Linked DNA regions of Bombyx mori. The protein of the gene in region 2 purifies or fractionates together with the protein of the main gene of each other region. This does not show direct contact. Links are inferred from orthologs where the notes say so. Each region holds a gene or a part of one and is shown on either strand. Other genes may lie near its edges. The genes, in order: protein NDUFAF4 homolog; RPII140-upstream gene protein; evolutionarily conserved signaling intermediate in Toll pathway, mitochondrial.

The links.
Region 1: the proteins of RPII140-upstream gene protein (region 2) and protein NDUFAF4 homolog purify together in Homo sapiens (affinity purification with mass spectrometry; 3 studies listed by BioGRID and IntAct, with this or other methods). This does not show direct contact. The link is inferred for Bombyx mori from reciprocal best matches to the Homo sapiens genes TIMMDC1 and NDUFAF4.
Region 3: the proteins of RPII140-upstream gene protein (region 2) and evolutionarily conserved signaling intermediate in Toll pathway, mitochondrial purify together in Homo sapiens (affinity purification with mass spectrometry; 3 studies listed by BioGRID and IntAct, counting the BioPlex papers as one, with this or other methods). This does not show direct contact. The link is inferred for Bombyx mori from reciprocal best matches to the Homo sapiens genes TIMMDC1 and ECSIT.

What each region holds. Positions count from the first base shown.
Region 1 is NC_085126.1:4,812,980-4,818,032, reverse strand, and holds protein NDUFAF4 homolog, read right to left. Parts: upstream 2,990-5,053; 5' UTR 2,690-2,989; coding exon 2,042-2,689; 3' UTR 1,022-2,041; downstream 1-1,021. UniProt on the Homo sapiens protein: Involved in the assembly of mitochondrial NADH:ubiquinone oxidoreductase complex (complex I). May be involved in cell proliferation and survival of hormone-dependent tumor cells. May be a regulator of breast tumor cell invasion.
Region 2 is NC_085128.1:11,905,439-11,910,771, forward strand, and holds the start of RPII140-upstream gene protein, read right to left. Parts: upstream 3,391-5,333; 5' UTR 3,304-3,390; coding exon 3,155-3,303; intron 3,007-3,154; coding exon 2,841-3,006; intron 2,315-2,840; coding exon 2,226-2,314; intron 1,309-2,225; coding exon 1,175-1,308; intron 1,103-1,174; coding exon 994-1,102; intron 53-993; coding exon 1-52.
Region 3 is NC_085123.1:8,906,708-8,912,192, reverse strand, and holds evolutionarily conserved signaling intermediate in Toll pathway, mitochondrial, read right to left. Parts: upstream 3,278-5,485; 5' UTR 3,071-3,277; coding exon 2,686-3,070; intron 2,355-2,685; coding exon 2,128-2,354; intron 1,571-2,127; coding exon 1,363-1,570; intron 1,122-1,362; coding exon 999-1,121; intron 659-998; coding exon 489-658; 3' UTR 437-488; downstream 1-436. Other genes in the region: TM2 domain-containing protein CG10795, read left to right, coding at 52-174; uncharacterized protein LOC101736860, read left to right, coding at 4,736-4,811.

The DNA.
Region 1 (5,053 bases), on a different chromosome or scaffold from region 2:
CAATCCCGTTTCTGCAGGATAGCCGTCGGAGCACCGTGGTATGTGAGGAATGTAGATGTTCACGACGACCTAAATTTATTAATGAGACGTAAGTATCTTAAGGAAGCGTCAGAACGCTACTTCCACTAATTACTTATCCGACCGCGATGGGGTAACGCAAAGCCGACGTCGCCCTAAATAGGTATGTCTTGTCGGATCTCCGGATTCACTCTCGGAGCTTTTAGGCCTCTCAAGCACCGGTCACCGTTCTCGTCGAACTTTTCGATTATGACAAAAAGTTCGACGAGTGAATTAACCCATAGACACAGCCCACTGAGTTTCTCGCCGGATCTTCTCAGTGGGTCGCGTTTCCGATCCGGTGGAGATTCTGCGAAGCACTGCTCTTGCTAGGGCTAGTATTAGCTAATTCTCTTAGGTTGAGCCCGTGAGCTCACCGGTCCGGGCGTAGCTGGAATAGCCCCCTAGGCTACCAACGAATAGGTTGGGAAACGACGAAAAAAATAATTCAATATGGAAATACTTGCACAAAAACACGGGAAACAATTTTTTTAGTACAATCGCGACAAAACACTCAGGTCTGCTGAAGAACGACCCAATCAATTTTCTACTGCACGCTCCATTCTCTCTTGACTTTTGCTGGGACTTACTAAGAAGGAAACACCCACTGTGAAGATAAACTTTTGGTTTCAAGTACAATGATTTAAAATAGATGGTACTATATTTTTCTGCATTGTTTCTAAGCTGACCTACTCTTACCATTTCAAGGTAAAACAACCTTAGCATAAAATGTAGTCCACACGGGCAAAACTCCAGACAAAAAATTAACAGATTCTAATCGTGTGCTACTTATGATAAAGCTTTTAAGTAAAATAATATAAAAATAAACATCTCTATTGCTTACTGATAAACTACTGCCTATATACTAAATAAAACCTTTAATATTCATGAGCCACTTATTGTCTTACTTAGATTTACTATGGGATAAGTGAGCATTTTGAATGAGTCAATTTGAATAAAAATCTTTTTATGCTAAGAAATTCATTTTATTTATCACTGTCTACATACAACTAGAGATTTAACAAATAAATTAACAACAATTTTATGGTATAAGAAATTAAATTTGGTTGAATAACAATAGTTGCCATCTTTGAAAAGGTAGTTTACCTGGCACAATGATAATAAATCGAGGGATGAAAAGCAATTAGGCTTAAACAACATCTTTGTAGCTATCTTTACTAGAGAACCATTTAAAGTTTAAAATTTTAACAAAAAATGTCATAACAAAAAACTTCTTCAGCTATTTGAATGGCATAAACTAAATGAAGTTCAATTAAAAACAATTGTTTGTGAATAGATGGAGAAAAATCCCCTGATTCCGAATATGTATATAACTCAATATGAGCCTAAATGTTGCTTAAACTAAATAGCCTTTCTTTCACCTCTCAAAATGATTTCAACCAAAAATTAACATTGAAATTATGCTTTTGAGCTGTGGCATGTAGTATGTTGAAAATCAAGTCACTTGTAAGGTCTATAGTCTCAAGTGGCATTAGGCAATCACCTTTTAAAAAATTTTTGGGTTCAATTTAATGAAAAGAACATAAATGTTTTTGCTTAGCTTAGCACATTAATATTGTTTCCTATTTATATCTTTCTATCTATCTTTCAGCCTATAGGCGTCCACTGGTTTTAATTTTTGTTTCCTTGCATTTTTACTTTTATCTTTTATAAAATTTCAACTAGGTTTTATTTGATATTAAATGCAAAGGTTTTCATTTCAAAATGTAACTAAAAATAAATATTGAAATGTATCTGAAAAAAGTCAATGTAAGTAATTGCAATTTTATTTTCAGAACAAACTGAGATAGAACTTTGAAGTTTTATTTATATTTATTACATGCAAATGTTCCAAGCGGAATGTTTCAAACAAACTTATTTCAAATATTTTTGTTCATCTTACAAGAAATAATAATATTTATTAATCAATTTAAGCTTTTCAACTGAGTAACATTAACTACTTTATAAGAATGAATTAAAACACCTAACTTTTCTTTTGTCTTAATGTTTTAGCGTCCAACATACTGTTTTCTTCAATTGCCTTCTTTTGTGATTCGATAATTTCTTTTTTCAAATGAGCTGGTCCTGCAAACATTGCTGGAGTTTTCTTGGTTTCAGGTATATAAATTTCAAAAGTTTTAAAATATTTTAATATGCTTTCCACGTCTTCCAGCTTCAGTTTATATTCAAATGCTATTTTATCTGGACTAGCTTCTTTGCTGTCTATTTGATGAGCGGAAATAAAGGTCACTACTTGTCTAAGTGTAGCGCGTCCATATTTAATTTTTTCCGGTTCTCTAAATCCAAATTCAAAATCTTCGACTAATTTCCGGTCCTGAGGCAAAGGCCTTACCTCGCTTTGTTTTTTTCGTAGTTCCCGCGTAACGTCATCTTCAGACCGACCGTAAGATGTTACATAAACATCCTTCAGTCTATCGTCAAGCGCAGGATCTTTTTTATCTAATTTTTCGTCAATATTCGGGTCAGCTTCTAAAGTTCGTTTCAAATCTTCAATATTTCCTGGATATCTGGGGGCCGGTGTAGGTTTTTCTTTTGAAATCACACGATGAGCTCTGTTCTCGATGTTAAAAGCTTTGACCGGTCTTAATGCCTTCGCTACTAAAGCACCCATCTCAGATGGCTTTAGTTCATTTAATAATCTCTAAAGTTTTATGTTTTCATAAAAATATCATTTTAATTAAAATATTACTTGTTATTTCATCACAAATACAATCGCATAGAGGTTAGGCAGCATTTTGACATGTAAAAATGTCTTTGACAAGTACCGTAACTGTCAATCAGTTCTTTTTTTAAATAACTATTAAGCACCAGCACCTCTTAAGTGCTTATATTGAACACGTGTTATGACTTACGTACCTAAAGACCGTTATCTACATACATACATTGAATCGTATTTATTAAATGTACTAACATTTGAGTCTTGATAGAGCCTCTTTTAACGCGAGCCTCGATGATCCCTTCTCAACGGACTTCTCGGCAGGTGAAGGAGGCGTATTCGTAGCTCGTGTTTGTTTACTTAATACACGAGTAGGTGATGGACTGGGGCTACGTCCGAGCCTACGTCTGTTCTGTGTTAAATTTCCCTTTTGTGTCGTGTTAGAAGCTGTAAATTGAAATTTACTGCAAGTTTACAAAAAAAAATAATTTGACGGATTCTATCATCCTACCTATAATCTATGAAGAAAAAAAACAGGTTTGTTTATTTGTTAAATGTTACTAGCATTCGCGTATCTCTTCCTTGATTAGGTTTAATTTTTATTTATTTTTGGCACTCCAGTAACATTTTTGTCAAAGTACCAAAAATATACGACAGGTGGCGCTTATGTAGTTAAAAAGTGTTTCTAATATTATTATGTACATTGGCAATGAAATTATACTACATACTAATAACATTGAAAATCGTACCTGCATTAAAAAACGACGGTGTCATGTGAGCTGCGTAGCTAGGAGCTGTATTCGTTGGTATTCGTATGGTGCACCCCGGTGTCACTGTGACTGTTGAACTCAACTGTCTTCCTCGGTGATCATTAAATATACTACTCCGCATCAAAAAATTCTGAAAATCACAGAAACATTGATAATCTACCTTAATTATGTATGTATCTATTAAGCAACATAGAAATCAATTGATTGACCAACATAATGTACAGGCAGAATAATTACTAAAAAACCTTTCTTACCCTAGCGTCGTGTACATTTTTCACCATGTGAACAGGATACATTTCGTTTGAAGAAATACGATAGGTTGATTTTATGTTAGATTCCTTTAATTAAAACAGTTAATTAAAAGACGGAAATTTGCGAAACTGTGCCCAGGGTCGAAAATACTTACTTTACTTTTTACATTTGGCTGAATCGTAGAATTAGAACGAGCGCTCGAAGTTCGCGATTGAGGACGAGGAGACCTCGTAGAGACAGATTCTAAATCACTTTTTGGTATAATATCACTGGTGAAATCACTGTAACAAATCCATGTGACCTACGGTTTAATAGACACAGTACCCTACTAACCCCACAGTTCATTAAATATAAGTTCAGAAATGTGATTACCCTTTATTTTTTATATTATTTATCGATGAAATAGGTTTAGCTGATTTTATTCGCCCCTCGAGTTGTTCTTTCTTGACAGTCTTGTTAATATCTAAAATTAACAAAGTAATTTTGTTCGTTGTCCCAACATTTTCACGATGAAATGAGATGGATAGATATTTATTTTTAAAAAAATATGATATTAAGTGCATTTCATAGAACTTTAAATATAGATTAACACTACCTTGAATATAGTAATAGTCTAATAAAACACCAACCGTGTCTACAAAATTGCAGCAGTTGTTTAATTGATAATTGTTGGGGAAACACTTCGCGTAACGCACCGACAACTTCCATAAGCTATCATTGCAAATTTTAATACAAGGCTTGCAACACAGAAAGTTTTTCCAAAAATCTTTCCATTTATCTAAATGGCCATTATCGTTTTCGTCTTCTATTATGATATTACTTTTTATAATACAACCCTTCATTTGAGTCAATGGAATTTCAGAAGCAACTGTTAAATCGCACGACGTTAGAAATATCTCGTCTTCTTCGTCGCAATTATCTAGACGTAGAAAAATACTGGTCACAGACGTATAATTTATATAGTCCAGATAGTTAAGTAAATATATCAGAAATTAAAATCAATCTCTCTTAAATTTTTATTACAGATTTTTTTAAATAAATTCTAATACCTAACGTATCCTATTCTTGTGAATCGGAGCTTTAAAATTCCTTGATTCATTCAATGCTAATGTTCTGAGTGCGTGCGGTATGAACGCCTGCCTTTGTTGATTGCTTTCCTTGATTATTATGTTTTCATATTCAATTTTTGTGTTTTTAGGTTTTTATAAGTGAAAAGAAAAATGATAACGAAAACAATGTACATATTTTTTTTACATAATAATGACCTTTCTTCCATTAATTGAACCGTGCGTAAAAT
Region 2 (5,333 bases):
GTCGTGTTTGATTTTTGATGATTTCTCTATTGCTTGATTATAGTGATCAGTCCTATTGAATAAGAGAACAGTACATTAAAGCAGATATAGTGGTGTCATGCCAATGTTTTATATTTGTTACAGTCACACGCTAGTACAGTCAGATGTTGAATTCTGCACTACAGTGATTATGATTGACTATGATTATGAGTGACTCATTATGATTTTGAACAAGTGCTTAACGTTTTTTATTAGCATCCGCTAAGAATAGCTCAAATAAATAAATAATCATAAACCAGTTTAAAAACAATAATTTGCATATAGCCGACCTGACCATATGCTTGTGATTCCTAGAACTTATTATATTATTTTGATTTTAACTATACTACTCGTAATATTACAAATAACCTAACTGAATAGATTTGTATCAAATATTGCAGAGATTGTATTAAAAATACATCCTGGATTACCACATGGGATACTTTATATCATGGTAAATGACATGACCCTGCTAATGCCAGATATATCTAGATAATCTGCTATGGTAAATATGAAAATATGACTATGAATATAAAAATGGAATGAGTTTTAAATAAGCAAATGGCACTGAAAAAGTCTTTATTCTAGGACAATGCAATCTGTTCCATAATTTCTAAATTACAAATTTAACATGAATGAAACTGCAAGGCATATTATTAATAATAATAATAATGTTTTTATTGCAAGTAACCATGACTCATATAAATTGTTAATAAGACTTAGACCTATGTTAGTAGTTATATTTACATCACAATGAATTACTGTCGTAATATCCCATGGGAGATGGCACCACAGCGACCCATGTATACACAGTCCAGCCTGCTTGCGATCATGCTCAGGATACTGTTGGAGCTGGCCCTCACTTTGCTTACCAGAGATGCACACCTCTTACGCATGGTAGTGTAAAAACAATCTATGGCATAGCTAGTACTGACTAATTTTGACATTTTCTCTGAAGCTGTACTTGAAACTTACCTAGATTCTTTGATTTTGTATAATGCTTGTCGTATATCGCTCATACGAACACCAGTAATTTTTAATATTCCAATAATTAAAAGTCCACCTATTGTACTTAATACAGCTCCTAAAAATAAAGAAATATATAAATAATATGGTAACTAGTAGTAAAAAATGTCTGGCTGTTTCTAATCGTTACCTAGGGAACCACCAACAATCATAGCAGTCAATCCTAAATTTGCTTTATACAATGCTCCGGTAAGTGCACCTGCAGTTGTGTACTCGATGAGTGTTGTATCTCCACGATATGCAGATATTGTTGTGGCTATCAAACTGAAATGTTTCAAGGAACTTAACAAACATTCACGATTGACTTCCACAGTGCAGGAATAACATTATGTAATAAAAATCAAATCCGCAAAATTATAATTTGTTTAATTACCAGTGGTAGGACGTCTTGAGAGTACGCACGGGTAGGTACCACCACCCTACCTATTTCTACCGTGAAGCAGTATTGCATTTTGGTCTAAAGGGTGGTGTAGCTGGTGTATTCTTAAAAATGAGACTTCAGAACTCATGTTTCAAGGCGGTTGGCAATATTTATTTTGTAGATGTCTATGTGCTCCGTTAACCACTTAACATTAGGTGGCCCATGAGCTCGTCCCGCCATCTAAGCAATAAAAAAATGTAAATACAGTAAAATCAGTTTAATTTATTCAACCATTAGGTTATAATTATATGACTATCACATTTTCACATATTGCAATGTTCGATTATTATCATGATCAAACACTGTGATAAAATTTGACAAACAATTGTTAAAATGTAGTGTTATTTAAAAAAACCACTAAATGAGTTGTAGAAGAAATTGTTTCAAAAATGGCACAAGTTATATGTACCCTATAATTACTTCGGCATGAAAATGATATGAATTAGTAATGAGTACATTTTTTTTATCATTCAAAATTTTCAAGAAATAAAATTGGATCTTTGTTTTAGATATCTTCATTACTTATAACTAATACTAAAAGTATATGTAATACTAATGATAAATATACTTCCACTTTAACACATTTTGAACTAATGATGAAATCTGCAAGACTAGTGTTGACAATAAAATTAAATGTAAAATAGGATTAAGTAACAAATAGAATATATGCTAAGCATGTCAGAGATTTGATTCCTTGTGTTTACATGTACTGTATTTATATGTATATATGTATTGCTAATATTAGTCTTAATAAATTTACCTGAACATTCCTGTAAAAATACTTAATTTCCATCCCCACTTGTAGGCACCTTTGGCAAATCCAATTGTTACATAGTCTTGCAGTTTTTTCTGTAATCCATCACCAAGGTTTTATAAAATCATTATAAAAGATAAAAAATTAAGGATGTAAATAGTAATAATTTATATACAATATAAACTAATAATAATTTACAGCTTTCTAGGCAGACAAGCATACTGTAATCCTGTGACAGCATTCTACCAGGTGATCTGTAGCTGTATTAAGCAGGATATGGAGAAAAGATATTGAAGAACCTTGTACAAATTCTAGTAGATATTCTTAGAAATGTTAAAAAAGTTAATGAGTTTGTTTCCTCGCTGGCCACTTGTTACATGTTACCACTTACGCATAACACCTAATATAGTTAAAGTTACATCTATTGTGAATTAAAAAATAATTCAAAAGTGGGTTAAAATTAAGCGGTTGAGTGCTTGGGAGCATCTTTTTCTTCCTGAACATTCCAATTATGAATGTATTAATAAATTAAATAAAGAATAATAGGTAAGGATACAAAACATTTGAGTCAGCATCTCTATTTTAAAAACAATCATGTATTATGCAAACCTTTTACAATACCTTTGCATCGCCTACTGTTTTATAAGCGGTTGCTTGATTATTTTCAATAAAATACAAGTAGGCTTCTCGAGATGAGACAAATCCTCCGAAACAAACACCAACAAATGCACCGCACAATGTGGATTGCACAACTGTATGCAGTTCAGGAGAAACTTCGTCGAATTCGCTAAAATATTTGTTTATTTCATAAATCCCATGGATTCAGGCACGAAAATACCATAAATGCATAGTATTATTTTATTAGTAATTTTAAACATCAAATCTTAGCGAGTATGATTATTAAATAATATTGATGAAAAACGCAATTTTCTTACTTTTTTTTATACATGGCTTTAACCCGATCCCAGCCTGTCTGAGGGCCTCCAGGCAGAGGTCTGTTAAGGACATCGTAATCATTTTCATTTCTTTCACGAAAAATTGGTAAGACAAAACTTGGAGACAACCTGATCACCGTTCGGATCATTTCGACAAGATCCCTTTCCCTTTTTGATAACAACAGACAAGACAGACATCACTAACCAATCTGAACTTTTAACTTAATGATCTTTTTTTAAAGGGATTTTATGACTTGGTAACTAAGACCTTTAAGTCACGTATTATTTTAATTTATGTTCTTATTTTTATGAAAAATAATAAATAATATGAAGTGAAATGAAATGAAGATAAGTAATTTGATACATTAATCAACTGGGATGAAATTAAATGAAATGATATCCGATTTGAGAGTATATTCTAAAAAATTAGACCATCTGGCATCTCGGACTTCGGTAGGTAGTCTACCTATCGTAGGTGCGGATCGAGGCGTTCTTGGCCCTAAGGAGTCCCTAACATCGTCGGGCAATTGAAGCAAGTCCTCCGCTACAATTTGCTTCGATGATCTATCTAATGTCGAGGTGATGTGCGCCGTTACGATGTCTATGGCTTCAGCGGTATCCTGAGGGGATGGGGTAGAGTCTGGGCTGAACAGGAGCGATGGTGGATCAGATTCAGTTAGGCTGAAGCCCAGTGTGTGCCAATCCACCACAGTTTTCGTGACGGGAACCTAATCGGAAGTGCGACCAAGCTTTATAACGACGGGACGGTAGTCTGAGTCTAATTCTGAAACGACTTCGATTGAACGGGACCGCAGAGCTACGTCATGACTAAAACAAAGCCATTAGGCATGGTTTCTCGAAATCTTCCGGAAGGTCCGCTGAATTTTCAATAAATAATCACCAGTTTACTGAGACTATTTAAACACATCTCATGAACATGAAAATGTAATTTCATCCCAATTGATTACGGACTCAAATAAATCAACTTCACCTCATTCATTGCTATATCATTTTTCCTATAACTGAATCCTCATCCTCCTTCAGTCGATCGCTCATTTCTGAGCATCGTGATGCGCCCGCCTGTGACCTTTTTTTGTAATTTTTAGCCACTTATGTCGGTCAGTGGCACAGTGAAGTGCGTGGCTCAGTCTCATGTCCAGATACTCAGACACTTGGTCACTCCATCTTTTTCGGCTACGACCTCTAGATCGTCTTCCATCCACTTTACCCGTCACTATGAGTCTCTCCAGGTTGTCAGAGGGTTTTCTTGCTATATGACCAAAGTATTGGAGCACTCTATATAGACATTTGGTGGATAGCCTCTGGTCAACTTTTAGCTCAAAGTCAAAGTTAGGTCAAAGTTGACCAAAAAATAACTGAATATGTATTTAATAATTGAAGATTTTCATAAACTCATCGCTGGCAGCAATGGCATCCCAAAAAGCCGATTGTCATGCTTAAAAATAATAGAAAGAAGAGGATTTTAATAAATCATTGTGATAGTGACCCTCAATATATTTTATTCGCTTTTTGCAATTATACGAATACTTTAAAAAAATGCCTTTACCGCAATTCAGCATTTTGGTAAGTATCTACCTGTAATTCTAAAATCATATTTTAATTTTCTTTGGACATTTTTGTATCTAGAAATAGTTTGGACAATTAGGTATGTATAGTAACCGGCAAACTTTTTGAGCAAATGACTTTGACTGCGCAGAACCGAATTTTAGATCACTTTGGTGGTGGGGGTGAGGCGCGACGGCAGAGGAAACCGTATCGAGCGCGTTATTGGTAGATCAGACGAACCTTGCGCCCCGCACCGCGCCCTCGTTCCGCTTGCTCCCAAAAGTACGCTTGCGTACGGTGAAAAGTCTATCGTTATTCATCGTTATGTTATATTTTGTTATAATTGCTTGTTGACTTTGTTGCCATTGCTATTTGTTGACTGTTTGTTGATTTTTTTATAAAAATACACTATGCCGCGACAAACTTGTGTAGTATTCAAAAGAAAGGGTAGAAAAATTGTGTACGACGTATATTGCTTCATTATAAAACAGGGGAAGAATGATATGGAAAAAGTAAAACAGACTTCGGAAGCAACAGAAACATCAGTGAGTAGGGCATTATTAACGAAGCTAAAGGCTCTGGCTTGCTCGCCGTGTTTCGGACTCCGGGTAAG
Region 3 (5,485 bases), on a different chromosome or scaffold from region 2:
ATAACAATGACATTATGTTGATTAAAATATATAAAAATGTTCTTTTCATAGGTTGTGGGACCTTCAGATGGGTCTGCTTATGTCATTCCATATTATGGTGCTGGAGTTACTGTTGTTCGGAGTGATAATGAGACTTACCTACTACCACAACCAGATTGGCATAACATCACCTGACAGTGGGGAACAATATCCTTCGAAGTTGATGAGGATTATGAGTGGACTTAATGTGTTTTTGTATTTATGTGATGTTGGACATTACATAAATTGTGATTAAGACATTTGTATAGATTTTAAAGAGTTACATCTCTATGTTACTATTGAATTTGACTTGTACATACATTTAATATTCAGAAAGTGTCACACATTATCTACTGAGTGTTTTGAATACTGTTAAATTTTATGTGAATGTTATTCGAAACGGAGAAATAAATATAAATTATACAAAGGTCTTTACTATATTATTATTATTATAACAAAACAAATTCAATTTAATTTTGCACTCTTTTTACATCTTCGGCAGCTGGCTGTGTTTCCTGTACTACAACGTCATTGCTAGGTGCAGTAAGAGTGAAAATCACTGGTAGATTTGATAGAACTGAATTGTCATATTTCTCTAATAATCTTATCCACGATAACAAAGAATCTCGTGATGATGAACCTGTAACAAAAATAGCTTCTTAATATGTAATTATGTTTATTGAAAAAGAAGTTCCTAAGCATAATAAAATTGTAGTTGTTATTTCAGTATTCATCTATACTACCCAGAACTGCCATTCTTTGACAGTATATTTCCAGAAATGTTGTTTGCAACATAACATAATTAACTTCCCACTAGCGTTTACTGAACTTCTATGACATAATTGTTCCATCCTTTTGCAAATGAGGTTTCGGGAGAATACTATATCGGTGTTATTGGATTTACTTTGATAATAATAACTTGGTAATTCTAATTCAGAAAGGCGAAACATGTAATATATATTATGTTCATAATTCATTACCTGTGGCACATACAGCTACTATTGTACCATCATCCTGCTCATGTACAGTACATTTAACTACGGGTAATGTAGTTTGACCAATAAAACCAGGTATTCCGGAAGGTTTCTTTAAATTTGATACATCTAAAAATTTAACCAGTGATATTAAAATAAGAAATATGTTAATAGTTTCATTTTTAATGGTGTCAGCATAGCACCAACTGTTTTGAACACATCAAAAATGATATGCATTAGGGAATCAGAATGCTAAAGCTAAAAAAAGTACTGGCTCTTTTACTTCTTAGGCCAGATAATAAACTGGACTACTAGTTACTAGTAGTTAGTACTACTAAGTTGCAATAAAAATTTGGTAATAAATTCATACCATCTTGGTCAAAGTCATCTTTATGTTCTGGTCTTACTTTACCCAATAATGTAAAGTAAGTGACAACTTGCTCCTTTAAATACACTTCGTAAGGTCCTCTTACAACAAGGGGCTCATCAGGGGGTTGCTCTGAGAGTAATATCTTTTGTGTTTCACTTTGGGCACTTACTATCCATGTTTTATCTATGCAAGCTTCAATTTCTTCTGTCTGACAAAAATTAGAATTGTATTGTATGTTTATATCAACTAATAAGTGTGAGAAATGATGGAAACTTTGTATTTTGCATTCATCGCACAAATGAGATTGACCATGGCCCTTCTGGCATTAAGTGGACACCGGTATGCATAAACATCATAATGTGTTTGAAATCACTCATCTTGAGACATGACGTCTAAGTCTATATTCCAGATTCCATTTAAAACGTATACTTTATGTATTACATTCTCAATAATTTATGAATGATATATAAAAATGAAAGGTTTTAATGGTTTAATTTTATATGCCAACAGATGTACAAGCCATCTAGTAGTTTAAAGACCAGAAAATGACAAAAGAAATACTTTATCCTGGGAAAAGTGAGCATATTTCATTCTTACTGATTAACGAATTTACTTCTTGTCAAACTGTAATGCATAAAGCAAATATACACCCTCCTTTAATTAAATGGGCTCTTAATTACAAATCACTAAATTTTGACTTATAAACATCTTTCACTATACAGTTGGTACTGTAATCATAACTAGAGAAATGAAAGAATTTTTCACCTGCCAAATTTCAATTTTCATAGTAGGATCAACGGAAGTTATCCGATGAATAGCCATTTTGGCAAGTTCTAATGTGTCATTCGGCAATTCATCTGGTAAATACCATGGACTTAGATTCTTGAATTTAGGCATCCAGTACAGCATGCGCCAAAACTTTCTAAGAGGTATGCCTCTTTTTCCAAAAACGTTCAATAACATTTGCTCTAGTTCACTGTCTGGCATTACTTCTGTGAATTTAATAAAAAAATAATTATCAGTAGTCATACCTTAGCAATTTTATGGAATAACGTAAATTTTAAACTTGGCTTGTGTATTATAGTGTTATTTGTAATGATTGTTAATATTGGCTGTTCAAGTGGCTATTTAGCTTGTTTGTGTACTTTTAATTGTATAATTGTCCTTTCAAGTGACACAGGATAAAACAACAGATTTATTACATTTACAAATTGTATTCAAATTTTTTTTTTTAATTTTTTTTTTTTTATTGAAGCCCAATACAAATTACTACCAAAGAGATTATAAGTATTAATGTTTAACATAACAATCTGATATCCATACTATTATCTTCCATCTGTTCAAGGAGATCCACAGCGCACTGCTGTTGCTTCGGATAGTGCATGAATTCAGCCTGAAATATATTTGACGGTATAAATTTGCCTTTGGGCAGTACGTCTACTAATGCTTTGTACGCTTGTAAGTCTTTATGCACACCAAATTCCTTCATTCTAGCTAAGGCGGCATAGATAAATTCGACGTGTCCTCTTCTTCTGTTGTCCTGATTTTCAAACATTTTGATTGCTTCCAAATATGTATCTTTATTTTTCTTTGGCTTATTAGCAAAAGGATCATACACAGCCACTTTTGTGTTTGAGCTTTCCCATCTTCTATACATAAAATGAGAAGACGGAAGTCGCAAAATATGTCTTAAAATTTTTGTAGCCATTGGTAGCGCTTATTGGTTATTGTTAAACTTGCAGGCCTTCATTAATTATTCAGTTTAATTATAGATTTGTAACTTAAAATAACAGCTATTCACAGTTTCAAATCGTTCTCAAGAAAGAAGATAATTTAAAATTTCAATTTGATTTTCAATTACATATTTTTCATAAAACTTGACATTTGATCAGTAGTAGTAACTAGTAGTTTTATTTTTTCAACTGGAAAGGCAAAAGTTTAATACCGTACAGCCTAATCTTAAATATATATCTATATACATTTTTTATATAGAAATGGTAGTATGAAGTGAAATGAAGTTGATTAATTTGCAACAATAATCAATCGACATGAATCAAATGAAATGAAATGAGATGAGATGATATGGGATCAAATATAATCTCAGTAATATGGTGGTTCTCTACTGAGAATTTGTTAGGTGGACTTTCTGGATCTCAAGAAGCTACGTCCAACGGCTTGTTCAAGAGCTCAGGTTGGTAAAATGTAGTCTATAGACTTACGCAAATGTAGTCATAGAGTACACATTTAAGGAACATTAAGGTCGAACAAAATACCAAGTCTGGTTACAAGTTCTGTCATGTACTTTTTTATTTTAAATTAGAGAGGAAATTAAAATTTTGTTTCATTTCTATCAATATCATTTTTCAGAGCATGAAATCTTTAAACATGTATTTTTCTATTGTCGGCATACGAACATACAACCCACTTTCTATCGCTCATGAATATGCTCAATCCTAGAGGGACAGACAAATTGTTTTCTAAGTGCTTAGGCTCTAAGCACTTTGAATAAAAGTAGTGATAATATTGTATATTTAGATTATTGTCTTTTAATGAATGTGTGTGTTGTCTCTGTTGTCGTTCAGTCTACAACAACTGAAATTGAAAATTTGGCGAAAATTGACCTTCATCATATTTCATATCTTAAAATAAAGACTGCGGTGTAACTCAGAAATGACTATTCAGTATTAAAAGAACTCTCAGGAGAACCAGCAATCTCTCTTTTACAAATTTAAAATTAAATTTTGTTAAAATAGACTTTAAAATTATACAAATTACAGTGAAAGTACAATTTGAAGATGAGTAACAGAAATATAATGAAATAAAAGCAAAGTCAAATATAATTTAAAATATGGTAGTTTGAAATTTTAGAGTTAAAAATTAAAAAATACAGAGTAACAAAAAATTTAATTCATTTCTAAACAGGAATTAAAGTTCACAGTTCAACAATTCTATGCAATACAATAATGCGCTTCTTTACAGATTCAGACACTATGCCAAAATAACATCATATATTATTAAAGTCACATCATTTTAATATTAAGAAAGTCACACGATGACCTCTATACTAAGTTGTAGTCTGAATTTCTATCATAGAGCAGTCTGCGTTTATGCTCTATGTTGTTCACAGTCATTTCAAAAGTACCAATATCCAGCACATCAGTCGGCTGTAAACTTCCAACGTATGTGTATGTTACTCTGTTTTAAAAACTTCTTCGTATTTTACGAAAACTCTTAAAACACTAAAAGTAAATGAAAAACGAATGTATGGTCGAAAATACATATAATTGCTGCTAGTTACACTTAATTAAATAATTTAGTGTAAATATAATATTACAAAATAAAATAATTACAAAACTTTAACATACAGCCTGATATGTTGCCCAAGATGTGTAAAAGTGCAAATTATTTTATTAGTGTTTTTCTCGTTATGGTGACTTTTACTTTTTCCGGTAAGTTTAATTTTTTAGTACTCACATTATATTTAATTTTACTTTAAGTAATTTATGTATTCGAAATTTCTTAATTTAATTTTGGAGGGAATAATTTTGAACATAAACCATGCCATCCCCATAGTGCCAGAACTATTGTAGGTTGAAACGAATTATTTACATTGTACGAGTGTGTAAACGTGGAACTTTTATCTTCATTCAAGGTTAGTCCGTTCAGTATTAAATAATTTTAAAGCGCCTAGTAGTCTTTTGTTAAAATTAAAATGACCCTTTTTTACGCTTTTTTTTATAAGTAAATATCTAAATGTATAAAAACGATGTTCGAGATTAAACTCACGACGATAAAATTAATTTTCAATAGGTATAACGTAAAATTGCCATAGATTTAGGCTTAAAATAGACAATTGTTCAATAAGTGGGCGTCTTGGATTATGCCCAATTTTAAAGACACGCTAACCACGCTCTAGTACACATTGCACCGAAGCCAAATAATACGCAAACAACTCATAAACAAATCTGTTAACAAAAAAATAAATGAAACATTCTAAATCTAAAGGTTTTGGGCGATCAAAAAATAAGCTGAAAAATAAGCTGAAACAGTTACTTACAGTATAATTGTAAAAATAAATATACTACAACCTTGGAATATAATTATTACATACATAGTTACATTG